2 linked regions of the Cricetulus griseus genome follow. Each later gene encodes a partner of the first gene's protein in a complex. Links are inferred from orthologs where the notes say so. Each region holds a gene or a part of one and is shown on either strand. Other genes may lie near its edges.

Evidence for each region.
Region 2: Prkg1 (region 1) and Cnn1 share a complex: the UniProt entries of both Homo sapiens proteins name them as parts of the cGMP kinase signaling complex. The link is inferred for Cricetulus griseus from reciprocal best matches to the Homo sapiens genes PRKG1 and CNN1.

The regions. Positions count from the first base shown.
Region 1 is NC_048596.1:29,787,622-29,804,798, forward strand, and holds the start of Prkg1 (cGMP-dependent protein kinase 1), read left to right. Parts: upstream 1-8,773; coding exon 8,774-9,084; intron 9,085-17,177. UniProt on the Homo sapiens protein: Serine/threonine protein kinase that acts as a key mediator of the nitric oxide (NO)/cGMP signaling pathway. GMP binding activates PRKG1, which phosphorylates serines and threonines on many cellular proteins.
Region 2 is NC_048597.1:134,987,908-134,998,399, reverse strand, and holds the start of Cnn1 (calponin-1), read right to left. Parts: upstream 6,587-10,492; 5' UTR 6,504-6,586; coding exon 6,441-6,503; intron 4,721-6,440; coding exon 4,599-4,720; intron 3,423-4,598; coding exon 3,356-3,422; intron 2,361-3,355; coding exon 2,223-2,360; intron 2,041-2,222; coding exon 1,930-2,040; intron 1-1,929. UniProt on the Homo sapiens protein: Thin filament-associated protein that is implicated in the regulation and modulation of smooth muscle contraction. It is capable of binding to actin, calmodulin and tropomyosin. The interaction of calponin with actin inhibits the actomyosin Mg-ATPase activity.

The sequences.
Region 1 (17,177 bases):
AATAGAGATACTTATTCACTGGTAGTGGGAGTGTAATTGTGTGCAACCACTGTGGAAATAACTATAGAGGGTTCTCAAGAAACTCAAAATAGAACTATTATATATGGCCAGCTATACCACCACTCAGAATATACGCAAAGTATTCTGAGACATGATAACAGTCATAACTATACAGATAGTCAGACATCTGTGTGTATAGCTGTACTTTTTTCAGTATCCAGATTAGATGCCTATTAATGAATTAGGTAAAGTAAAAGTAGCATTGCACTAACAGAATGAATAAGCAAATGCAGTAATAACCACAACTGAATTTCATGTAGCCCAAAAGAAAACTTAAATCATGACCTTTGCAGAAAAATGGATGGAACTGTAAATTGTGTAAAGTAAAATAAGCAAGACTAAGAAAGACAAATACTACAGTAACATGAATAAATAGAAGAACCAGAGACTGATATTGGGGTTCAAACTTCAAGCTGAATATCAGCAAAGCACAGCAGCTGGCCACTAGCTTCTTACCTCTACCTAGGCTGAATGGGCTGATTCTGTCTCCAGGAGCTCTCACTAAGCCTCAGACTTTAACTTCACCTCAGTGTGGCTGGAGAATGAATGCCTCATACTGAATACTGAAGACTCTTCTTCTATCTTTTATACCCTCCTAGTGCTGTGATTAAAAGCATGTGATCTATTTTCTCTTTTAGACTGATTCAATCTCATGTAAACTGGGTGACCCTGAATTGAGAGATCCTTTTTCCTCTTAATCCTTAATCCCACCACCTCCTAGCTTCTGGCTGCTGGAATTAAAGGCGTGTGCCTGGCTTGTGGCTGACTTTGCTTTCTGAATCCTCATGCAATCTTTAATAAAGCATAAATAATATATCACCACAGACTATATGTAAATGTATATGTATATGTATATGTATATGTATATGTATATATATGTGTGTGTGTGTGTGTGTGTGTGTGTGTGTGTCTGTGTGTGTGTGTGTCTGTGTGTGTGTGTCTGTGTGGTGTTTGTGGGAGAGAGAGAGAATGAAAGTAGGAAGCAGATCATAGAGGGGAGGAAGAGATCTTAAGGTAGGTGATGGAAATAGAGTCATGGATGCATGTGACAGTAAAAAGACACTGTACGCCTAAACGTGTTAAAATAATGTACAGAAACAATAAATGAGTTTTTGTAAAAATTTTGTTTAAGAAAGAACACCTTTGATGAGTGTATCACAGGCCATTCAGTTGAAACATTATTGTGTTCAAGCCTGTTGCAGTGGTCCATTCTTGTAATCTTTGCGCTGAGAAGGTGGAAGCAGGATGACCAAGTGTTTAAGGGCAATCTTGACTACATAGTGGGTTCCAGGTCAGCCTATCTCAAATAATATTTAAAGCATTGATTATTTTGAGTGCTACCAAGATCATCACTAGGATTATTTGTAAGAAATGGGAATAAATGTATAATTAAATACAACTCACCCCTTTCTTTAAAAATCAAACATAAAACCCACACTGTGCTTCGAATTGAGTCAAGTTCCAGACTTGACTCAGGTGAGTTTTCTCATTCCTGTGCCTTTGGGTTTCTCCAGAATAGAAACTAGGATGGTGAGTTGAGCAATCTTGATGCTCATTCTAGATAAGAACCCCATGATAAACATCATTAATAAAGATTGAACTCTGGATCCTCCTGCCTTAACCTCTTGGTATTGTAACTGTGTGTGTGTGTGTGTGTGTGTGTGTGTGTGTGTGTGTGTGTGTGTGTGTGTGTGAGTAAATGAAACCATACGGTGAATACAGAATACCATTAAATTGGGCATCTGCCTGCTTTCTGAGAGGATCCTCCTCTTGCCCAAAGAGGCAGGTTCGTATCAGTGCAAAGTAGAACACACACACACATTTCTCAAAGTTCTCTATTTTCCTAGCAAGCAGCATTACTTTTGTCATTCTGTCAGTAAAGTGTTTTGAAGCTTCACCTGTCATCATTTCCACTTAAAATGGCTGGGTAGTCAACATAGATGCGTTCCTGAGGAAGATTGAATTTTGAATTTTGACTGCATTATATTCTATGGAAAACTTGGATGAATTTTCCACATTAACTTCCTAAGTCTGATCTTTGAGGGAAACATTCTTCCATAATGAAATGATTCAAGACAGACACTGAACATACTGTAAAAATACAAAAGAGTGAAAAAAAACCCTCTTGTTTATTCTTTTGGCACTCTGAGGCTAGGCAGTGCATATTGCCATTTGGGGTATTTTTTATGTGTGAGAGGAATGACACACATTGCCTGTGTTCATGGCTGTGTGTATGTTTGTGTGTGGGTGCATGTGCTTGCATGTGGAAGCTAGTATTTGACAAGCAGTGTCTTCCTCTATTGCCCCTATTGTCTTCCACCTTTTTTGTTTGTTTGTTTGTTTGTGTTTTTTGTTTTTGTTTTTCTGTGTAACATCCCTAGCTGTCCTGGAACTAGCTCTGCAGACGAGGCTGGCCTCGAACTCACAGAGATCCACCTGCCTCTGCCTCTGGAATGCTGGCATTAAAAGCATTAGCCACCACTGCCCCACCATCCACCTTATTTTTTAAGATATTGTGTCTCAATGAGCCTAAGACTCACAGATTGGATAAAGATTGTACAAGACCAATTGGATAGCAAGCCCCAGGGATCCTTCTGTCCCCACCTCCCCAGTGCAGCAATGGCCTGTACAGTTTTCCATGGCATTGGATATAGGTGCTGGAGATCCAAACTCAGATCTCCATGCTTGTCTAGGAAGTATTTTAATAGCTGAGCCATGTTTCTGACTCTGCCTTTAGTAGATGTTTACACATTTGTCTTCTACATCCGAGACATTGATATTATGAGCATTCTTCATGTACCAGATAAATGTCTGTGCTTTGCCAAAATGAAGTCTTCAAGATACAAACTAGACCAGAAAGGAGTTACTGAATATTGAATATTTTCTAAATGTGTTGTTAGGGAAGATCGTATGAGATCTAGCCTGGGGCTTCCACCCTGTTCCAAGAGTGATACTCTGGTAAGCATCAGGTATTTATTTTGCCTCTGAAATGGAATGACGTTCATTTATTTTAACAGCTTAGTGCTTCATTTCCTTTTTAATATAAAGATGAATTTATAAACATGTATCTGAGATGATTGTATGAAAGTTACAGTATAAAAGTTTCCTTAATCTGGAGTGAAGAGACACTTCACTAACCTGGTAAGTTAATGAGAGTGAAAATAGCTTTGGAGTTTCTGACTAAGTATGTTTTGTCTGCAACCATTCTTCCTCAATTTCCTCTTTCATGATTACAGGAAATTCTCTTGGCTTAATTCAGTCATTTTACATACGGATCAAATATTAATTCACTGGTCTATTTTATTTTCTACTGTCCATCTTCAGTACTTTCCTACCTTAATAATGGAAATGGTAAAAAGTAGTAAAAAGTAGATTTTCCTTACTTTAAATTTATACTTACAAAACATCTAGGAGAAGACTAGCCAATTCCTGCCAGCCGTTAAAGACAATTTAAAACAAAAGCAATGACAAAGGGAAAATACTAACCACAGAGTTATGCTTTCCCAGGTCATGTGATATCAAACCCGCTTTCTTAAAATTTGAAAGCACAAGATATGTTTATTCATCATCATGACATAATTTAGAGTTATGTCATACAGTAAAAAAAAGATGTTTCCCTTTGTTTTCCAATTCCTGACATGTTACTTTTTGAGATTCTGGGACAATAAGTCAGTACCACAGGGATTCTCAGAGTTTTTAAAATTATAACATTTTAAACACATTTCTAACAGCCTCTAAAGTCATAATATGGACATCTAAAATTCTCATTTTATAGAAAAAACAGACAAAATTCACTAGTACTAAAAAGAACTACATCTCACAGGGATGTTTGTTGAAACACACAATTTCAATTTCAGATTTTCCAGTAAGGTAACAGGCCCTCATGGAATCACACATGGGCACTGCCCATTAAGGACTAACAGGAAATATTTCAGAATATTTTTGTGGAAAATCTTAACACTTTAAAATAGGAAACTATGTAGATTTTATATGCCAGAACCACTGAATTGGAATGGAGGAAGTGTAATTCATTAATTGTGAAGGGCAGACAATTGGATGTTGCAAAGCCAGGCTGGAGAGGTGGCTCAGAGACTTAGAGCACTCGCTGCTCTTGCGGAGGATTTGGGCTGGTTCTCAGTTCCCACACTGCAGCTCACAGCCATAGTCTCAGTTCCCAGGGATCTGAGGTCCTTTTCAGACTTCTGTTGTCATTGCACCTGCATGCGGTACTCATATATATCTACACACACACACACACACACACACACACACACACACACACACACACACGAGTCTGTGAGTCTGTTGTCTATCTATCTATCTACTCATGCACAGAAAAAATTAAACAAATAATTTGAAAATATTATAAAAAGTTTTTTTTGTGAAGCCTTTGCTTTTTGGAGATCATTTCACTATGTATTCCAGGTTAGTTCAGAACAAAAGGTCCTTGCTCCTTATCTCCCAACTGCTGGGATTAAAAGCATGTACCTGAATTTAAAAAGTATTTTAAATTATGTTTTATCCATTTTATGATTTACATTTGTGAAGAACACAATCCCTTTCCTCTTAAAATCTTCTCCTTCTGGCATTAGAAATGCACAGTGTACTAATGAGTATATAAAGAACATTCATTCTCTTAGTGCCTGGGTTTTAATAAAGACTGCTTTAGCCTAAGGTCCAACAATAACTTACCACCATTTTGAGCCAACGACTATGAGGATACATTTCAGCTAATATCAGGCATGACACTAATTCAGTATTAAGTGCTAAGCACATTAGCAATTTCAATGTAGAGCACTATGGCTTTCCAAGTCACTGAAGGAAGGTTTTTTTTTTTTTTTTTATCAATGCCTTTTCTTTTCTTTTCTTTTCTCTTCTCTTCTTCTCTTTTCCATTCAGAACTTACTATTTGAAGTAACATGACTTTAAAACAGTCCAACCATTAGAATTGTTGCTTATATATATTTAAATATATACTTAGAATTTTATTTCAATTTTAAATTAATTTTATTTTATGCCAGTGGGTGTTTTGCCTGAATGTGTGTATACTGTTTACATGCCTGGTACCCATGGAGGATAGAAGGCCTCAGATCATTCCAAGCTACTGTGTGGGTGCTGAAAACTGAACCCATGTCCCCTAGAAGAACACCCACTGAATTTAACCTCTGAGTCATCTCCCTAACCCCAATGTAGACTCTTTATAATCAAATATCCCTCCCCACTGCAATTATAAGACTAATTTAATTCTATGCGTGAAGAAAAGAGTAAGTGCTCGAATTATTGTGCTTAATTCATAGGAAACGAATGTTAATTGTTTCCATAAAAGCAATAAACCAAAAGAGACACCTATATAGGGCAGCTCACAACCACCTTAAAGTCCAGCCTCAGGGGATAGGGCAGCTTCTTCTGACCACCGAAAATCTCTGCATTCATATGTGCATACTGACAGTCACACACACAAATGAACATAATTTTTAAAATTTTCCATGGATGCAGAGTAAAAATAATTCATCTCTTGAAAAATAATTTCAGGACCTTGGTATTTCAAATAAAATTTATTTCCAGCATTGGTTAAGAACAATACCCAAACAAATCAAAACTTTATCACTTACAATCTAAAAAACCAGCTAAAAACATGCTTGAACAAATTAGCTAAAACATTTGAGGGCCAGGAGGATGTTTTAGTGGGTAAAGGCATGTGCTAACCCAAGGAACTGAGTTCAAACCCTCAGGACTCCTGTAGTGGAAGGAAAGGAATAACACCTGTGAGTTGTCTGTCACTTGTCCATCACATGTTCACCATGGTATGTGCAATCCCTCAAAAAATCAATGTATAATATTTATCACCATCTTATTAATTACAGAGAAAATCCAAGAATTCTAAGTTATGCAAAAGGTATAAAGGTCTTGGGAGAAATTCAATATTCTCTGTAATAAAGGCAAATGTAACAATATATTTTGTGCCTTGAGCCCCTTTCAAAGTTTAAGCCATTTGAAATCGGCAGCTCTTTTCAACCATTCACTTTCTTTGTGTTTCTTGCAGCAGATCCCTGATTCTTAAAGTCAGATCCATCATGGAACACTTTTTGAAATTTGAGCATTTTATTTCAAATGAGACTGTGACTGGCATTCATGCTGCTATAGTTTGTGGGCTTTCTGTTACTTAAGAAAAGTATACAGTTTAGTATTGCAAAACTTCACTTTGATAAAAATCCTGATTATTTATGGCTTAAGTGCTGTTTAAACATACTTTTTGTGAGGTAGGAAACAATTTACTACTTTTTCTTCCCTTCTTTCCCTTGTAGACGAGGTTTTTACAAGCAAGGCAATATGTCCCCTCTCTTGTGTGGTGAGACATTAAGGAACCTCATTTAAGCCTCAAGAAAGACCGTAAACAAAGTTTTCTTGTCCATTGCTTCTTATACATCTTTAGACATAAACTCCTGGCTTTATAGACCCCCAAATAAATCATAAGAAAAAATAGCATGAAACATTTTCCCAGGGAAGTAGAACATTCCCACAGGTTAACTAAAATTCTGGACTTTTGCCTGGGAAGAGGAGATTGTCCCAGAAGAATGCTGCCCAAGGATGCCATCAGTCATACAAAGTCACAGTACTTCCGCTCAGTTGACTTCTAAGGAAAACAGCAGTAATTCAGAACTCTTATTTACTGTTATCTTTTGAAAATGTTTCATGACCTGTGCACTTTTTTAGATTACATTCTGAAGCAAATGTCCTCCACAGCTTCCTGTTGGAAAGAATGAACATGACATCATCTATCGAGAGAATGAAATCACAGTCTTTGTGGAAAGTGTGTAGGGTTGCATATCCCTTTCATTTGCACCTCTAATTACCAAGAAGCAGACTTGAAATTAGGAAAGGAAGGAAGGAAGGAAGGAAGGAAGGAAGGACAGAAGAAAAGTAAAGAAAAGAAAAAGCTTGTTGATATGCCAGTGGCTAGGCTTTCTTTTTCCTATTTTGTAAAGCTCAGATACAGAAAGCTGTGTGCTTAAGGGAATAAATGAGCAATTTTATTTTTTTGAGATAGATTTGTGTCCTTGGCTAATCTGAGATTCCAGGCAGTAGTTGTGTACTGCAATTTAGTTTTAATGTATTTTCCATCTCTTTTGTTTAAGTGTTAAAGGGTGGACAGATAGAACACTGAGATTATAACACAGAGTGTGGAAGAACAGTAAATTAAAGCTCTCAATTAAAAAAAAATATAAATTTGGAAGAACCGATGAAGGTTTAATTAACTATTAGGCACTTATGTAAGCATCAAATAAATATTTTGGGCGTTCTAAATAAGTGTTCCCAAGATGAGAAACCAACTCTTGGACTGTTAGATTGCCCCCTCCTTGCCAGAATTCTAGCCCCACACTGAGATGTCTTGCTGGTGAAGAGGTGGTGGGGAGAGACAAAGAGGGGGAACGGAGAGAGAGAGAGAGAGAGAGAGAGAGAGAGAGAGAGAGAGAGAGAGAGAGAGAGAGAGAGAGAGAGAGAGAGAGGTGGTACAGTGCAATTAAGGCTCCTGCAGTTTTCCCATCAGTTTTTGATTTTACCTCTTCTCCAAAGTTGGCAAAGATCCCCCATTAACTGCGGGCTGTCACTGAAGTAGCATTTAAAAGATGTGGTTCCCTTTCTGTAAGAATGTTTTGGAACTCCGCTGTGATTTTTAAGCCCCCACCCACTTCACCAAATCCAGCAAATGGAAGAAGCCAGGCCTCCAGTGCACCGCTCTGCAACTGATGCTAGCACAAATGGCAGGGACCAGGGAGCAGCTAAGAGGCCTTCTCTGGCCCAAATTCGTTTGGGGTTTGGCCTTTGCCCCTAGAAGAATTCATTGATCTGAGTTTGACCAGTGCAGAAAAGGGGAGACTGGGAGAGTGGGAGGCTTGTTTGGCTGAAGTCAGATACCCCACCCCTAACCTTCCCCAAAGGCTACTACTAGATGTCTGGGGAATCCCTCCCTCACCTTCGGAGAGGCAAGTTTCTTTACAAGCGTTAGACACCTGTATGAGGCGCTCCCGGTGGGAAAGGTGGCTTGAGGGACGCCAGAGCTCAGTTACACCGCTTTCCTCTGTGAGGCTGCGGTCACAATCCCTCCAGAAGTCAGAGCTGTTAGCATACACAGTCCCCGCTGCCTTTCTTGGTCGACAGGAACCTAGCCCCACATTCTGGAGCCGGAGCCCGCCGACGCCTCTCCAGTTTGCTCTGGGTCCTCTCCCTCCCACCTCTCCACCTCCAAAGTAGCGCTCCAGCCTCGCTCCGCCCGCACAGCCCCAGCGCCCCCGAGCTTTATCAGGCTCCCCACACACATCGCTGGCTTCCTTTGGCACCCGGCGCTGGTGACCCTCGCTGAGCAGCCGCCTCCTCCAAGCCCAGGCCCCCTCCTCCCGCCCGCGGGTCACTGCGCCTCCAGGCTCTGCTCCCCCAGGCACCGCGGCGCCCACCGCCTTTCAGGTTCATCTGGGCTGGACCTGTTTTGCTCATCCCTAAACCCGGAGAAGTGGAATCTGCACACTGAAACTCTCGGTGGCTGGAGCGGCAGACTGGGCATGCTCAGAAGCCAGGTTTGGCTTTGGTCTCAAGTCGAAGGAAGCTTTTGCACTCGCGAGGCAGCGGCGACTTTAGGGAAAGTTGATCCGAGAGGGGAGGAAGCCCCAAGACGCGGAGCAGCGGCAGGAAGGAGCCCCCGGCAGCCCGGAGGAGCATGGGCACCCTGCGGGATTTACAGTATGCGCTCCAGGAGAAGATCGAGGAGCTGAGGCAGCGGGATGCTCTCATCGATGAGCTGGAGCTGGAGTTGGATCAGAAGGACGAACTGATCCAGAAGCTGCAGAACGAACTGGACAAGTACCGCTCGGTGATCCGGCCCGCCACCCAGCAGGCGCAGAAGCAGAGCGCCAGCACCTTGCAGGGTGAACCGCGCACCAAGCGCCAGGCGATCTCCGCGGAGCCCACCGCCTTCGACATCCAGGATCTCAGCCACGTGACCCTGCCCTTCTACCCCAAGAGCCCACAGTAAGCAGGGTTACTCGCCTGGGTCCATGTGGCGCCCTGGCGGTGGGGAGCTGCGGGTCTCTGTATTGTCTGTCGGCCCCTGCCCCTCCCGCTTGCCATGTCTGTCCTCATCCTCAGAAATGTCTCATTTTCACGGCACTTCTTGAGGGGCTGTGCACGTTTCTCAGGGCCAGACTCCCTGCACATCCGTTGCCTTCGTGTCTTTGTCAGATGCCAAGGTATTTTTAAAATATACATATACGTTCATATATGCCACCTACTGTACATAGAGTTTGGACGCGCCCCAGGTGTGTGTCTGACGGTGTGTGTGAGTGACTGTTGAATGGAGGAATCAGAACCCCGTCTTTCCCAAAGCCCCAGCCAACCTGGCCAGCCGGAAAATCCTAACTGCAGGCTCATCAGACTGAAATGAAATGCGTTGATATTACCCTGACTTTCCACGCTCTTGTGGCTCTCCTGGATTTTTCTACATGCCGCCGGCACTTCAGGCTGGTACTGTTCAAACCTGATGTTCTCTCACCATCAAAGTGTAAAAGAATAAGTCAATATACATATAAAACAGAAGATTTTTTAAAAATTTCCTGAGTTGGATGACATTTACAATCCATAAATGGAAGCCTAGTCTGTTGATTCTTAAAAATGTTTTCATAATATCTGAGAGAGAATATGATTTGTTTTTCTAAAAGAATTCTCACATGATTCCTAATGAACATTTCCCTATAGGGCTCATGTATTTTCAGGGCCAGTGTGGTCAAGCCCACGTTATTTCCCCTGCTGCGCCTCACACTCAGGTCTAAAGCCACTCTGCCGCTGTTCTAGCATGTTACAGAGCAGTGTAGTTCTGATGTCAGTAGGATTCATAACTTGGATGGGAACACTGAATGAAACTTGTTACACAACACTCAACCCCAGAGTCCATATGGAGAGCGAGCATCAGGGACAGGACGGCAGCAGAACCAGAACACCATCTGAATGGCATTTTAATTAATAGTAATGACATAATTGGTAAAGCCGAGGATTCTGTTGTCCTGCTCTTAACTACATAACACGGCTGGATGACACGTGTTACATAATAACAGAAGGCCCCCGAGAAACCTTTACTTCCTAAACACAAGGAATTCATAAGAGGAGATAGTGAAGACTTGGTTATCTCCATTTGTATTTCTTGGATGGGAGGGGTCATGAGTATATACTACGTACACTTTTTTGAAAACTTACAAGCCCAATCTATACATGTTGGCTCCCATGAATCATTTGCAGGCTTAGCTGATGGAGTTTGAATTCTGTGGAGTACAGGAGAGTTGACACAGATAATATAAATATTTCTGAAATCCCAACCTTACCAAGTTGCCATCATAGATCAGCTGATTTCAATTTGTCTTAGAAACTGAGTGATCTGAATCCATTGGAGTTTCCTTTGGTAAATTAATTTGCAGTCGCTGGCATGTTCGCCTGTTTCAGCTAACAAGGTACATGGCCATCTCTCCTGGGCCAAGTTTTGCATAATGAAAATGTAACTCAGAGACAGCGCTTTGTATCTTTAAACAGTCTGTAGGATTGTCATTTTAGTATCTGCTGGAGTTTGGAGTTACCAAGAACAAACTGCTCTTATAAAAAGACTATTTTTAATAGACTTTTAGACAGAGTATGATCAATCCAGCTGATAACTCCACTTAAGCATTCTATTTGAGAAAGTCTAAAGAAATCCAGGCAGCAGGAATGAACTGTAGAATGTGGTATGTTTAGAAGACTCTCGGTGTTTGACACAGGGCACTGGTGTTTTTGTAAAATTCCACAGTAGACAATAACATTAGAAAAGCACATTCTTTGTAGTATCCCTGCAGGACAAAGATTGTGTATGTTGAACATGTTTTACACTCTGGTCCTTATTTGATAACTTTCAGGACCCCATTGTTAAGGTGGTATTGCCATGTGAGTTTTCTAATTCTGAAGGATTATACTGAAGAAAAATGATAAAATGTCTTCCAAGTTTAAATAATTTTGGAAAAACATCTGTTCTTTTTTTTCACACTTACATAAAGGAAACCGAAATAAAATTGCCTTGAGTGGTAGTGTACCTTTCTTAGGGGAAAAGAAGTGTATTGTATGCAAAATAGTTATTATCCTATGCCATTTGAGTGACCGTACAAGACAACTCTACATAGAAGTACAAAAAATGTGACACCCTAAAACATTTTTTTGCATTTTATCGTATATTGTTTGATTCTTTTTATTATTCAGACTTACTGTCAACAAGTGTTTACTTCTTTAATCTTTAGTGCAACTTAAATTTAATCACTTTCCTAAAGATTAAGTTAAGGTTGAAGGGAAACTATCTAAGTAGACTGGAATTTATTTCAGCTACCACTTTCCTCTTTGTTTTTGGTTATCTTTCCAGTAGGTGTAGTTAATGACCAACTGATGAACGGAACATATCCTCTAGTGTTCCCTTACTGAGGCTGACTTTTGAGAATTACAGTATTTTAAAACTTCCTTTTTTATTTTAGTAACCATTGATCATTTGAGGATAAAAAAGCAGTACAAAATTTAAAGTAGCCTCATAACTTTTTAGCATCTTAACAGTTTTTTCTTGGGATTTTTCTCTCTAATGTGAGAATTGGAAGAAAGCTTCTGTTGGATTCCACCACAGGGGAGGACATTTCTGCTATACCTGTGAGGTGTAGTGGGGGCATTGGTCTTTCACAATCTGTATAGATGTCACCTTTAAACCCTTCTTAGGTTATTTATGAATGTGAGGGAAGAATTGATGTAGCAAATTGGAATCTGTATTATCCTGCTGCCAATGAACTACTTAAAAATGTAAAAAGCACTTGATTCTATGTTCCAAAATACATTGAGCAAAAGCTCCCTAACAGTGAAACAAACAAACAAACAAACCTCAGACATCCAGTCTGTGAGATCAGACAACCTGATGGGTCACTTGAACTTCTAAAATAATTTTATTTCATGGCATTTCATTCCTACAGATGCACTCACTGTTCCCAAGTCTTTTCTGTTTTGCTGTCACAGCCTTCTATGTCATTTTAGTTGGACTACCTCAACTTGAGTTCCTATCAAAACTTGTTAATGTCTGTGTGTTTTTGTAAAGCTATTGCCTTTACCCCCGAGGTGGCTTCACTTCAGAGAATGAAGTGTTTTGTTCTGTTTCACTTTGTGATTGTGAAATACTTTGGAAGAATTGGAGATAGAAGCAAAATGTATTTTTTCCTATTTTTAGGTAGGAGTTAAAATTTAAAAGATCCCATGTGATCTCCTAAACCTTGATATTATATCCCAAGAGAAACAGTGTCTCCCTAAACACTATGTGTTTAATTCTGAAGGAAGTCATGGAAATCATGGGATTCTAGTATGATTATATACAGCTTAATATTAAAACATAGACTTCTGTGAAGGTACTAAATTTCTAATAAGCCTTGCAAGTCAGCTCAAAATCTTTCTGTGAAACCTTCCATGTGGAAATTCTTGTAAGGTGCATACGCCTTGCCATTACAGAGTTAGCAAAGGACTCAACAATACTATACAAGTAAACCTTTAGACACCTAAGTAAGGTGGAAGACAGAGTAGTCCACTGAAACACATGGTGTGTGCTGTGGCTCCTATTGAAGTGCATGGTATCAGGAACTCCACTGAGGTACAGGGTCTTGTGCTGGTGAGACTGCCATGATTTAAGCACGGCATGATGTGAAGGGAGGGGTAAGGGATGGGGAGATGTGGAGATGTTACAACTCAAGCCGTCAGCAGCGAGAGGCTTTCCTGTAGCGCCATGAATGGAACCAAAGCTCAGTTTCTATGATTTTATAGAGTGGATCAAGAGGAACTTAGGCTTGCTTTTAGAATGATCAAGAACCGTGTGTGTGTGTGTGTGTGTGTGTGTGTGTGTGTGTGTGTGTGTGTGTGTGTGTTTCACCAGGGCTAGTTAGTGCTGAAACTCTGAATATCAGACTGTGGTTCTAACTTTCCACCATAACTATATTAACTAGGTTAAAATATTTAACCTTAACCAAAAAGCAGATGGTGAAGACTCTTAAGGAAACCAAGGTCCACTCTTAAAGAAATCAAATACCTTTCTGAGTACCACTGAAAGTAGTTTACTTATATGCCATAATCCAACTCGGCAGATTCCTCACATACCTGGACAGACTGATATGGATGAGAATGCAATCTTGTTAGTTATTGAAACCCATCTCCCCTGCTTCTGTGGGGGAGCTAAATTCTGACCCAAGGTTATTAGAATAGTTTCCAATTAAGTTTGAGCATTAATTTGACATTACAGACTATGCAGTGGAAGAAAGTTGTGCAAAGCCTTCATAATATTATATGGGATCATGATGCTAAATATCCTGTTAGGGTGTTTGGAAGTGCAGTCAAGTTGCTTGCCCCTAAAATGGGATGAATAATGAAAATACTGACAAGCCTTAAATAGAGTAGATCTAGGGACTGCCTGGGAATATAAACAGCCATCTTCCTTGCTCTACTTGGCTGCATTTCCAAGCCCTCATCATTTAGTGTTTCATTAAAGAGTTGGTTTGGATTTTTGCTAGGAAATGGTAGAATGAGACATGCCTTGTTTCCATTGTTGCTGTTTGCAGGTTATAAGGCATATGGGCACATTTTTTTATCCTGTCTGCCTAGCAATGGAGGGTCTCCATGGTATCCTAGCAACCATATTTGAACACCAGGCTGCTGCTCTTTCTGCTATCTCTACCATAGGTGCTGCTGCCCATCCCAAGGAACTGGAATTGCGGCTAGCATCCCAGACCTTCTGACTTGAACCTGCCTGGCACTGGGAACACAAGACAATGTGACAAACACTCACATGCTGAAAGCAGCACTTACCAGCACGCTCAACAGCTTATTATGCAATCACATCTGTGGCATTTCGAATCCTAATCTGAATAGTTGGGCTGGTTTTCTTTGCCACCCCTCCTGTGACAGTCTCTCTACTTCTTCACACACAGCTTTCTGACACCACCTCTAGTCCCTCCTACCATCCTTTGTAGTGAATACCTTCCTTGCTGTCTCCTTAAGGATTTTTTTGTTTTGTTTTTGAGAATTAAATCTGTACAGCCTGCTCGAACTCTCTAAGTACAGTTTTGTTGGTAAGATCAAGGAAAGCTCTCCTTCCCCAACTGACATTTAAATATAAACAATGGCTCAAAAACTCCAGCTACACAAGGCAGATGTTTAACACAATGTGGGACTAAGCATAGTGCACTCTAAGAAGTGTCTTGTTTGGGAGTGGAATTTTATGATCCCAGTTATTCATACAAATGAGCAGGAGAGTAGAGTAGGGAGATGACATTTTGGGATGTGGAGTACTGTTGAGGCTATGTTATATTTTCCAGAAGTTTGAAAGTAGCAATATTCTTTCTGGACATATAAATATGCCCCAATGCTGGAGCAGAGTTTGCAAGACAGGTAAGTCTTTGTGTGTGCAAAAACTGGCAAGGACCACATCTTGAAGCTTGCCTGCCTTGAGAAGCTCAACTTAGATATTGTCACAAAATAATGCAGGTGTTTCTCTTCATGCCAGTGTCTTGTTTTCAATGCTTTGTATTTCCCCCTTGAAGCATCACTTAATCTAATATCAGGGAGGGTTTGGTGGTTTGTCTGCAGGCCTCAGTGAGGGGAGGAAAGGGCAGTATGTCAGCATGTAACTGTTCTGAAAGCAGGTCAAGAATGATACTGCCATCATCATCATCACCGCCACCACCACCACCACCCTGCTAATTTTCATGGGACACTAACTCTGTGGCAGATATCTTTCCCTTGCTTAACCTGCATCATGACTTTTTTCATTGTGAGTGTGTGTGTGTGAGAGAGTCTGTGAGTGTTGAATGAATGTAATGAATGTATGTGCACATTGTGTGAGGGTGTGCTTACAGCATAGGCATGTATGGAAGCCAGTTGTTGATGCTGTGTCTTCCTTAATTGTTATTCCTCATTGCTGCTGCCACTACTACTATTATATTACTACTATTATTAATTGAAACAGAGTCAATCAAGGAGCCTGTGGCTCACTGTTGGGGCTAATCTATTTGTCTCTCCTACTACTACTGTAGTTACAGGGACAGTGCCGCACCTGGCTTTTAAGTGGATGCTACAATTCAAACTTAAGCCCTTATGCTTTCCCAGCACATGCTTTATTCACCGAGGAACCTTCCCCTCCCTTGCATTGTGGATTTCAATATCATTGTAAGGAATATTCTAGATTATTCTCATTTTCCACCCTGAGTAACGGAACACCCAGACTCCTAGAAAGAAAGGCCCATGTTCAAAGGGCATACTCATTGTAAAAAACTTAAGCCAGAATTTGAGCTGCTGGAGCCTTTTTTAGAACCACTAGGTTCTTACACAGCCCCAAAGCCTGCAGGGATTGGATAAATGCAGAACCTATGAATAACATATGGGCTGTTCTGGGGAAAGTGTCTGTGTACCCATAATCAGACAGAAAGCAGAAAAACCTTCGGAGAAGTTGAAGAAATTAGGTAGGACTTTTCCTCAAACATGACTGCACATTAGAATCACCTTTAAAAAATCTCATCCCCTAAGTTTTACCACCAACGAATTTTTTTTTGAGACAGGGTTTTCTCTCTTTTGGAGCCTATCCTGGCACTCGCTCTGGAGACCAGGCTGGCCTCAAACTCACAGAGATCTGGCTGCTTCTGCCTCCCAAGTGCTGGGATTAAAGGGGTGCGCTACCAACGCCTGGCTACCACCAATGAATTAAAACCAGTCTTTCAGATGATTCCTATGGTAGGTCCAATGTGAAACGAAACTTGGGAGCCACTGTGATGAGAAGATGACAGGACATGGTGTGTGTGTGTGTGTGTGTGTGTGTGTGTGTGTGTGTGTGTGTGTGTGTGTCCAAATAGAGGACCAAGATAAGTGTAAAGAGTTGAATTAAAATCTTTTTTTTTTTTTTTTTTCTGAGACATGGTTTCTCTGCGTAGCTTTGCAGCTTATCTGGCACTCGCTCTGGAGACTAGGCTGGCCTCGAACTCACAGAGATCTACCTTCCTCTGCCTCCCAAGTGCTGGGATTAAAGGCATGTGCCACCAATGCCCGGCTATGGGCTAAAATCTTTATCAGCTTGCAAAAGCAGTGATGGGTTTTATTCTTTATTCGATTGTGATCATGTGTCTTATTGTTTATGCTCCTAAGCAAGTATGCAATGTTCCTCATGGCCCATTTTTTTTCTCTCAGCCATGGTTGTTCATTAGAAAACTGCCAAGGAATATTTTAAACATATCTTTTCTGGGTGCCACTAGCAAGATTGATTCAGTCACTCTGGGGTTGGGCTCATGGGATAGTTTAATCCAGGGATGGCTCTCAACTTCATTCCAAGTTGAGAACCTCTTCACTAGCCTACCTGGCTTCTCTCATGCTACAGATTACTTTCCATTCTTTTGGAGAGATTCTGCTCCTAGAGGGATGAGGCAACTCCAGCTGTGTGTCACCCATCACAGCTGGACTGTCCCTTTCACTCTGATTCTGGGATTGCCTACTATAGTTCTGGCCACATAAAAGCCTCAGCAGCTCCATTCAACTGGTAAGCAGTTTCCTCCTTCCAGCCATCCACAAGTCTGGCCAGCCACTGGATATATATTAGGGTCAGTCATCACCCCAAGTTTGATTTCCACTTTTGCTGGGGGCAGCGGCCTTGCCAACAGGAGAGACTGTTTCCTTGAATCCCAGCTGATGCTATGAAATTTGAAATTGATGGAGGTGAAACAAAGACAAGTCCCACTTGGAAGAGCAGGGCAGGGCTTGTAGCATTTCTCTGTCTGGTATGAGATGCCTCTGCAGCCAGCTAGCTTTTTTTTCCCCTTACAGATATTTTATCCTTTTAAGGCAAACAGCTTGAGCTCCGGCTGAGAAGTACTTTCCAAGGAGGTTTCAACGAAAGCGGAGTAAGCAAATCAACCTCTCAGCCCCATTTCCAGACAGTTTGGTCTGAGAGACCAGATGTGGGCAACCTCTGGTAGAGGAGAAGTCTTAGGCACCCCAGTAGCAAGGGGTATTGTGGGATATAAAGAATCCCTATTCCCGGTGCTCTAAAGTCACCACTG
Region 2 (10,492 bases), on another chromosome or scaffold:
AAGAAAGACTTTGGGCCAGGTGTTGGTGGCTCACGCCTTTAATCCCAGCACTTGGGAGGCAGTGGCAGATCTCTGCGAGTTGAAGGAGGTCAGCCTAGTGTACAGAGCGAGTTCCAGGACAGCCTCCAAAACAATACAGAGAAACCCTGTCTCGAAAAAGCAAGAGAGAGAGAGAGAGAGAGAGAGAGAGAGAGAGAGAGAGAGAGACTTTGGATATTTTAAAGAGACTTTAAACTTTTAAAGTGTTTGCATTTTTTAAAGACTATGAGACATTTAAAGTTACAGGGATTTTGTAGACCAGGCTGGTCTCACAGAGATCCACCTGCCTCTGCCTCCAGAGCACTGGGATTAAATGCATGGGCCACCACCACCCAGCCAAAGTTATGTTTTACATTGTGATTTGGGGAATAAATAAGATCATGTGCATTCAGGGTGGTATGGCAGTAAGGGGGGGGGGCTTTGGAAATAACCAAGAAAGGAAAGGGTGAGGTTTACTAGTGATATGCTTGTGTGTCAAGTTAGTAAGAGGTCAGCTGTGCTGGTTAGTGTTTGTCAACTTGACATAAACTTGAGTCACTGGGAAAAGGGAACTTGAGTTGAGGAGTTGTCTCCATCAGATTGGTTTGTGGGCATGACTAAGGGTTATTATCTTGATTATTGATTGATATGAGAAGTCTCAGACCACTGTGGGTAGTGACATCCCTAGGCAGGCAGTCCTGGGTTGTATAAGAAAATTGAGAAGCCATGGAAGCAAGCCAATAAGCAGTGTTTCTCCATGGTGTCTTTCCAGTTCCTTCTTACAGGTTCCTACTTGATCCCTGCTCTGACTTCTCTCCAAGTTGCACTGTGATGTGGAAATGCAAGCCAAATAAACTCCTTCCTTCTACAAGTTTAGGGTAGTGTTATAGCACAACATTAGAGTACAAACTAAGAAACCTAATGAGAGACTCTGTCTCAGAGCAAGGTGTCCTGGCATGGTGGGACACAGTTTTAATCCAAGCACTTGGGAAGCAGTTTCAGGCATATCTCTGTGAATTCAAGGCCAGCCTGGTCTACAGTGAGAGTTCCAGGACAGCCAGGACTACAAAGAGAGACCGTGTCTCAAAACGAAGAAACAGTAAAACAAACAAACCAAGGTGGATGGCTCCTGAGGAATGACAACAGTCGCTGACCTCTGACCGTGATGTGCACTCCCACATCCATAGATACATACGTACATACAAATGAAAAATACAAGAGGGCTGTAGATATAACTAAGGTACAGTGCTTGCCTAGCATACTTGAGATCTAGACTCCATCCCCAACACTGAAGAAAAAAAGCAGTGTGCTACCTGCTGCAAACCTTACTTTCTCTATCTGTATAAAGGGTTAAAAGCACTGGCTGCCCTTTCAGAGGACCTGGGTTCAATTCCCAGCACCCACATGGCCTCTTACTACCATCTATAAGTCCAGTTCCAGGGAATCCAATGCCCTCTCCTGGCCTCTGTGTGCACTATGCACACATGTGGTTCATATGCATACATGCATACATGAATGCAAAGCATTCATACACAAAGATAAGTAAAGTTAAGTAAAATATTTTAAGAGTCTGTTAAGCTCGGCGGTGGTGGCACACGCCTTTAATCCCAGCACTCGGGAGGCAGAGGCAGGCAGATCTCTCTGCGTTCGATACCAGCCTGGTCTACAAGAGCTAGTTCCAGGACAGCCTCCAAAGCCACAGAGAAACCCTGTCTCAAAAAACCAAAATAAGTAAGTAAATAAATAAAGCAGGAACTATTTAGGAGTATGAGCAAAGGGAACAAGTTAGTAAACAGAAAACACTGACTGTGCTCCCAGCCAGTCCATACAAATATTCTGACCCCCAGAGCCTCCAGGGTTTGGCTGCCTTCCCCTCAGCCCAGAGCAGCCCGTATGACCAAGGGTCCATACCTGTAGCCCAATGATGTTCCGACCTTCTCTCAGCTTCTCTGGCTCAAATCTCCGCTCTTGTTTCTCTGCATATTTGACTCCCACGTTGACCTTGTTTCCTTTTGTCTTGGCCTGCAAGGGGCAAAAAGGACATGGAACACAGATGAGCTAGCTTCCAGTAGGCCTCATTTCCCCTCACACACCAACACCTACCAACACTTTTGGTGAGGCTCAGTGGCCTAAGTGTCCCTGTAGCCATCTGACCTGAGACTAGCCCCACACCTGCCCCGTGCCCACTCTTCCCATACACTCACCATGCTGGCCAGAGCCAGGAGAGTAGACTGAACCTGTGTATGGTTGGTGTTCTCAAACAGGTCGTTGGCCTCAAAGATGTCGTGGGGTTTCACTCCATACTTGGTAATGGCTTTAATGAAATTACCTATGTTCTCCAGCTGTAAGGGAAGAGGCCTGATCAGGGATGGGAGGTGGAGGGCTGAGGGGCAGATGGGTAAGGGATAGAGTGAAACTCCTGTAACTCCAGCTCCAAGGGATCTAGAGACCCAATGCCTCCTGGGCTCTGTGGGCACTTGCCCATACAAATGTACACACACACACACACACACACACACACACACACACACACACACAAATAAAGGAAATCTTTTTTAAAAAATAAATATAAACAAGGGGCTGGAGAGATATCTCAATAATTAAGAGCACTGGCTACTCTTCCAGAGGTCCTGAGTGCAATTCCCAGCAACCAGATGTTAGCTCACAACCATATACAATGAGATCTGGTGCCTTCTGGCAAACAGGCTTATATGCGGGCGGAATAGTGTATACATAATAAATAAAATAAATATTTTTAAAAAAAGAGTTAAAAAACAAGTTAATGACCTGCCATCCCATCCTCTCAGGAGGCAGAAGTAGGATTGAAGTTCAAGGCCTGTCTGAGCAACTTGATGAAACATTGTCTCAAAAAGGAGTCAGGGAGATGTTTTTGGTAAGACAAAACAAAAGCAAAGACAAAAAAAATTGACGTGAAAGTATCAGGACCTGAGTTTGAATCTCTAGAAACCAAGCAAAAGTCAGAGAATGCCGCCAATGTCTGTAGTCCCAGGACTCCTGTTGGGAGAGATGGGAGGTGGAGACGGCTAGCCGGGTGTACCCAATGGAAAACAACAAAGAGATGGAGATCCTGCCTCAAACACGGCAGAAGGAGAGGGCCAAGACCAGAGTTGTCCTCTGACTGTGAGGGGAGCCTTTGACAAAACCAGCAATAGAAGCCCAGGGTTGGGCGTGGTTCTAACCTAGAGCCCCTGCCTAGAGTCCCCCAGTGAGGGGCTGGGGTGTGGCTCAGGGGTAGAGCTCCAGCCGAGCACACTCAGTGGGTTCAATCCTCATTACTAAAATAGAAAACAAACTAGTAACTTGTGTCTGGACTTACCTGGTGCCAGTTTTGGGTTGACTCATTTACCTTCTTCACAGAGCCTGGCTGGAGCTTGTTAATGAATCTAACAAAGAGAAGGGGGGTGGGGAAAGTGAGTTCAGGCAAGGTGACTACGTAACAGCTGGAAGCGGGTACTACCTAGCACATGCTATGGTGGATGTGGGACCCAAGCTACCAGCCAGAAACCCCAGAGTCAGGCTAAGTGTCCTGGCTTTCCTGGGTTCAAATGTCAGTGTTCCTTGTTGTCTTCATTTGTATGAGTGTGAGCATGGCCATGAATGTAGATGGCATGTGCACATGCATGTGTCATGCCATGTATGTAGAAGTCAATGAACCGCTTTCAGGAGTCTGTTCTCTCCTTGCAACATGTGGGTCCTGAAATTGAACGCAGGTCATCATCAGTCCTGGTGACAAGTACCCTTACCCACTGAGCCAATCATCAATCAGCCCGATGGGCTTTCTTCATGGCATGAATGTGATTATCTGGCTGGTTACTTGGTTACCTTTTCTTCGTGATGAAACCTATTACCTATTGCTGGGTGTGGAACCAGCCCAATTTCTCCCCCTGGGCTCCACATGGAGCCAGGTTCACTCCCCACACACCTAGAGCAAAGGCCTGTGTATATCAGGAGCTCTCTAAACACAGTATTAATGAGTGGTAAGTGAATGACTGTGGTGGATTGTCTGTGTAAGTGCTGAGGGTGGAACTCAGCCAGCCTCGCTCATGTATATTTTCTGCACTGAACTGTACTGTACCTCACAGCCTGTGCTGGGCATCCCAGGTGCGTGCCAAGCCATGGTGGGCTGCTCCTGTGAAGGTTTTCATCTTCCCCAGTGATGAGGGCAGTGGGAAGCCACATAAACTACATATGGGAAGTGGGAATTCTACATAAACTATTGTAACACCACCACAATGCCACTAAAACTGGAGATAAACAGCCACTGTTGCCCACTGAGATCCATAGACAGGCCTGCCCTGTAGCGTGTGCTAGCTAAGTAATGGCCTGGTAACACCTCAGGGCTTTGGGTACTGTCTTAAACCTAACTGACTCGGTCATCTCTGCCTGTGTAATGGGCACAAGTGAGTCTTCGAGGCCTTTGAAGGAATGTGGGTGGCATCAAGTATCAGGGTCTAACTACAGTTCCAGGTTTGGGATCATCAGGTGATGTTGAGGGCCAGTATGGAGCAGGTGGGGTGCTGGCTTCGGGGCGCGGTCTGCACCCTAAGAACCTCACTCACTCGCAAAGAATGATCCCATCTTTGAGGCCGTCCATGAAGTTGTTCCCGATTCGGCGACCTGTAACCCCCTCAATCCACTCTCTCAGCTCCTGCTCCCGCTGATGGTCATATTTCTGGGCCAGCTGAGATGGAGATGGAGGAATGAGGCACAGGTGATGAGGAAGCAGGCAAGAGAGAGGAGCTTTGGCCTTCTGGGGCCCATCTCAGCCCGGATAGGCCCAATCTCCTGCTTCATCCATCCCAACTAAGGCAATCCTGTCTTAGTGTCCACGGTAAGGGGGCAGGACTAGCGGGAGGCGGAGGGCCAGGATTGAGGTGGCACCTGCCCAGGGGGCCATTCCGGGCATTCTGAGGTTTGGCACCAATGAATAGACAAGAGGGGGCTGGAGAGCCTGATCCTTGAAGCTGGGGGGGGGGGGCGGCGCTTGGATCCTTGGTTTCCCCTCCAAGCCAAACTTGGGGCTTAGCTTCCCCTGACCCAGCCCCCCCTCCACTCTCCATTTGGAAGAGGAGATGCCTTAAACTGGGGGCGGGGATGAACCCTAAGAAGGAGCCCCTGGGTGCTGGTTTGCTGGGAGCCCCAGGACATCACACATAGAATCCCTGGTTAGAAATGGGGATTATTTTGTACCCTTCCTAATGCCTGCCTGAATGTGTTTCTTAAATCTGTCCTCAGCCCCACTTTGTCTCTCTCGTTGTCCCCCAACTCTGTGGTGCATTATCCTTTTCTCAGTCTGGGGTCCCCATCTCTGAAGACAATCCTGTCCAGCCAGCTCTGGGGCTCTTGGCTTTGTAGCTACCCCTCTGATCCGGTCTTCCCGGGTACGGGGTGGGATTCGACCGGCTCCCTTCTCCGCCTCTTAGCTCTTATCTCCCTCCTGGCTCGCCCGCTCTCCAACCTGTCTGCAAGACCCGCTTCACGATCTTTCAGCAATCCTGCTTGTTGGCCTCCCAGCCCCTGGTGGTAGTGAGATGGGGGGAAGGGGGATGCCTCACTTCTTCTGAATGGGGAGAGGAGGGGTGCACCCCCTTACCTGGCCCCAGCCCTGCCGCCCCCCTCCCCACCAGCCCGGCTTTATAAAGCAAACCGGCCCTTATATAGCGCGGGCCCAGGCTGCCCAAGGCCGCCTTATAAGGCGCGGCGGCTCTTCTGCGCCTCGGGCCGGCGCTGGGGGGAGGGGGCGACGCTGCCATCAGTCTCCCGCGGAGCACCCGCCCCCCACGCTTCCCCAATCCTGAACCCCTAGGATACCCCAACCTGATCCAGGTCCCAATCCCTGCTCCTTGCTCCCCTCAACTTCTGCTGTGGGACCCTGGAAAGGAAGAGCCTCAGTATTCCCTTCTGTCAAATGGGATTGCCTCTCCTAATCTGTGCAGTCCCCTGCCCCGGGAAATCGATCTATCCCGGTGTGGAGAGGGGTTTGGGTCCGCACTTGCCTCACCCGGGGCCCTAGCTCCTTGCTGTTCCTTTCCAAGCCTCAGTTTACCCATCCATGTCTCTCAGTGTCTTCTAGCTGTATGAACTGCAGGGTTGATTTTTTTTTTTTTTTTAAGGTAGGGGTCTGTCCCTTCCCCCTACATCCCTCCCAGGAACAAGAAAATTGACCAAGGACTCTGAGCAGGTGGGAATCTTTGCAGCACTCTGATTACCTCAATTTAAGGATAGTGGGGTTCCCTCATTTCACCCCTCAAGTAACCGAGGGCCCTGGGATGTTCCAAGGACAGAAAAAACGGCCCCTATTCCTTAACTTCCTTCTCTTCTCAGGTCTCAAGTCACCTGACACAGGTAGGAGGGCGCTCAGGGTCTGTCAGAGGCCAGGCTAGGCAGTCCCCCGGTCTTACCTTGTTCTTGACTTCAGCAGACAGGCCATAGGCAGGACCTCGGTTAAAATGTGCGGAAGACATGCTGGCCAGGGGGCTCTGGCAAAGCAGAGGTTCTGGTGACACTGACGAGGACAAGGCAGCTGAGCCTGCGTCTGCACCCTCTTCCCTCCTCACACGTTTTTGAAGCTCCAGAGGCCAGCCCCAGGCTCTTCCAAGCCTGTCCCATTGGCCACAGGGGCTTGCCAAGGGGCGTGGCACCACACACACACTTTGGCCACCCCCACCTCGTGATGTCAGGGCCTTGGTATTGGAAGCTGATTGTGTCATTGTTTCCACCTAGGGGGCTGTTTGCCTTATTCTGGGAGAGGGGCTTGCTCACACAGGCCACCCTCCTCTACCCTCCTCCCATGCCAACTGTCTATGTCCCATCTCTGAGTCTTCTTATCTCAAAGATGACCGGTCTCTATCCCTTTTCAATGCCAAGACAGGACCTGTGTCCACTTCACGTCCCGTTTCACCCACCCCCACCCCCACCCTGTAGTTCAGCGAGACAATCTGACTGATCTTCATACATCACCCTAAACACATAACCTTCTCCCTAGGTCTCTATTGCCATATCTACAGAAGGGCTAGTGATAGAGCTTGCCTCATTAGGATGTTGTAAAGATCAGAAAAAAAATGTCACCTCCAGGGTGCCCAGTGCAGTGCCTGGCACAAGGGAGAACCTCAGCCAAGCTTTGCTTCTGCTAACAATCTGGTACCCTGTTCCATCCCCTCCAGTCCCTCATGTGGACTTGGGGCAGCAAAAAGCCTAGTTCTAATTGGGTATGATGGCTCACACCTGTAGTCCCAGCACTTGAGAACCTGAGGCAAAAGGACTCCTGAGAGTGTGAAGCCAGCCTGGGCTACATAGTGAATTCCAGCACAGCCTGGGCTATAGAGTGAGACCCCATCTCTCTCCCCCACACATGAGTTAGTTTAAAAGGGGTGGGAGGAGGCTGGCAAGATGGACTGATGAGTTAAGATGTTTACTGACAAACTTGATGACCAGAGTTTGAACCCCAAGATTCACATAGTGGAACAAGAGAGCAAACTCCTGCAACTTATCCTCTGACCTCTATTATGTGCAAACACACACACACACACACACACACACACACACACACACACACACACACACACAAATGTTAAAAGGTAGAAGCTAAGACATAGGTCTATTAGTAGAATCCTTGCCTAACATGCACAAAAACCTGGGTTCAAGCCCTAGGACCACATAAACCAAGGCTGGTAATGCATGTGCATAATCCCAGCACCCAGGAGGTAAATACAGGATGTTCAGAAGTACAAGGATGACCTTGGCTACATACTGAGTTCAAGACCAGCCTGGGCAACTTGAAAAACAACAACAACAACAACAAAACAAACAAACAAAGATCCTAGACCTTCTCTCACTATTTATCCATTGGTCACCTGAGCCACCAAGGCCTGTGTTAGCTGGTCTTGGGCCATGAGTACTCCCCTGTCTCTAGCCAGCTCAGGCTGGTCTGGTTGGACACCTGTAAACATCCCTGTCTAGGACAGCTCTCATCTGGACCGTGGGGTTGAATGCTCCAACTGCATCATGTCAAGTGTAGGATAGTGACACTTGTATGACATCAATCTCTGTGCATTAATGATAATGATTTAAGGACCTGCAATTTGCTGGCCACAGATAAAAGACACATCTGGCAGGGCATAGAGGTCCTCACCTTTAATCTCAGCACTCAGGAGGCAGAGGCAGGTGGATCAGAGGAAGTTCCTGGCCAGCGAAAGCTACATAGTAGACCCTGTCTTAAAATAGCTAATAATAATTAATAATTTTATTTTGAGACAGAGCTCAGTGGCAAATCCCTTGCCCGGCATGTGCAAGACTTTAGTATAATTGCCAGCATCACCAGAGAAAAGGGCAGACTGAAAACAATTCTAATTGCTATACAGAACAATGAATGGAAGAGCTTAGAAGATGACCTAGCAGGTAAAGGCACTTACCACCAAGCCTGACAACCTGAGTTTAATTTCTGGGACTTCCATGATGGAAGGAGAAATCTTATAGCTGTTCTCTGACCTCCACATGCAAGCTAGGGCACATGTGTATAACACCTCTCTCTCTCTCTCTCTCTCTCTCTCTCTCTCTCTCTCTCTCTCTAAATGGAATACAAATGTTTATTATAACATTTTTGGGAGGGGAGTGAGACAAAGTCTCTTGTGTCCCAGGCTAGTAACAAACTTGAAATGTAACTGAGGATGCCCTTGAACTCCTGATTCTCCTTCCTTTACTCCAAGGCACTGAAATTATAGTCATTCACTCACAACCACACCCAGGCACATTGTATATTCTCCCACCGCTACCCTCTCTGTCCCTGCTCTTCATATCTGGGTTCCTTCTTCCCAAATGGTCCCATTTCTGCTTTCATGTCGTATATATTATGAAGAAACAGCCAAACTTCTCAGTTTGGAGAGATGCCGCAATGGCTAAGAGTACATATGGTTCTCCCAGAGGACCTGAATTCAGTTTCCAGCTACCATATCTGGTAGTTCACAACCTCCTGTAACTCCAGCTCCAGGGTATCTGATGCCCTGGCCTAGCCTTCAAGGGCACTGCATATACAGACACAGAAAAAAAATTTGTTTGGGACAAGGTCTCACTACGTTCATAGGCTGGAGTTGAACTTGGAATTTGCCTCCCTCCACCTCCTATGTAGCTGGAATTACAAGAATGCATTGCCCCACCTGACTTTGCCAACAGTTTTCCTGTCAAGCCCTATTCAAACTGTGGCCATATAACTCACTCAATACTCACAGCACCCTACAGGACATGTTGTTATCATGAGCACTTTACAGATGGAAAAGCAGCAACACAGGCAGGGGTGTGGGATCCCCCACTAAAAATATGTCACACAATTTTGTCAGCCTCTGTCCCTAATCCTGTGAGGTTCAAACAGAGTGTCTCAGCCTTCACATTGACGGTTGGCTAATTCTTTACAGTGGAGTCCTGCCCTGGGCACTGTGACTTTAACACCATCCCAAGTCTTTATGAGGTGCCAGTTGCCAGCACCTGCTCTTTGCAATGTAACCCAGACTGGCGTCCTGAGTGTTGGTGTGGCAGGCATGCACCAACAGGCAGAGTTAAAGGCATTGTCAAATGGACCTAGAGAGTAAAGGGGACAGATACCCAGATTGTCCCCATTGGAGGATCTACCTACTGCCCCATCATTTAAGAGATGCAAGTGGAAGATCAAGAGTTCCAGGTCGGGGTGTGTAGGTAGGCTGGAGAGATGGCTCAGCAGTTAAGAGCATGGGCTGCTTTTCCAGAGGACCCAGGTTCAATTCCCAGCACCCACATGGAAGCTCAAGTTCCAGGGAATCCAAAACCCTCACACGGACATTCAGGTCAAACACATTAGAGAGAGACAGAGAGAATAATAAGAAATATTATTAAAAAGAGAGAGAACAAGAAAAATAAGTAGAAGAGAATGATTGGTTATAGGTGTGCACAACTGTAATCTCAGCACTCAGGAGGCAGAGTAGGGTGGGTCTCTGAGTTTGAGGCCAGCTAGAGCTACCCAGCCAGAGCTACATAGTGAAACCCTGGCCAGGAGGGAGAGAGAGAAGGGAGTAGGCAGGCAGACAGAGAGAGAGAGTGGGCTAAGAAATACATAGAGAACCAGTGGGCTAAGAAATACATCAACTTGCATCAGATAAAATAGCAACCCATGCCTCACAACAGCCCTCTAAGGAGGGTCCTACAGAATGAATAAAGAAATGTAGTCAGTTGTCCAGGTCACACAGCCTGAATTCAGGCAGAAGAGTGGAATTTGAATTAATTCGCAGCCAGAAGCCACTTCCACAACAGGGCAGCGATCACTACAGCGCACGCACACTATGGTGCCCCCTGGCGGCCAGGGCACTGGGCGGAGGGGGGGGAGCGCTGACGTAAGCCCTGACTCACTCCGGGGCTCCCGGGTCTGCCGCTGCTTGGCCATTTATAGAATCCCCGCAGGCTCTGAAGTCAGAGTGCTGGCACTGCAGCG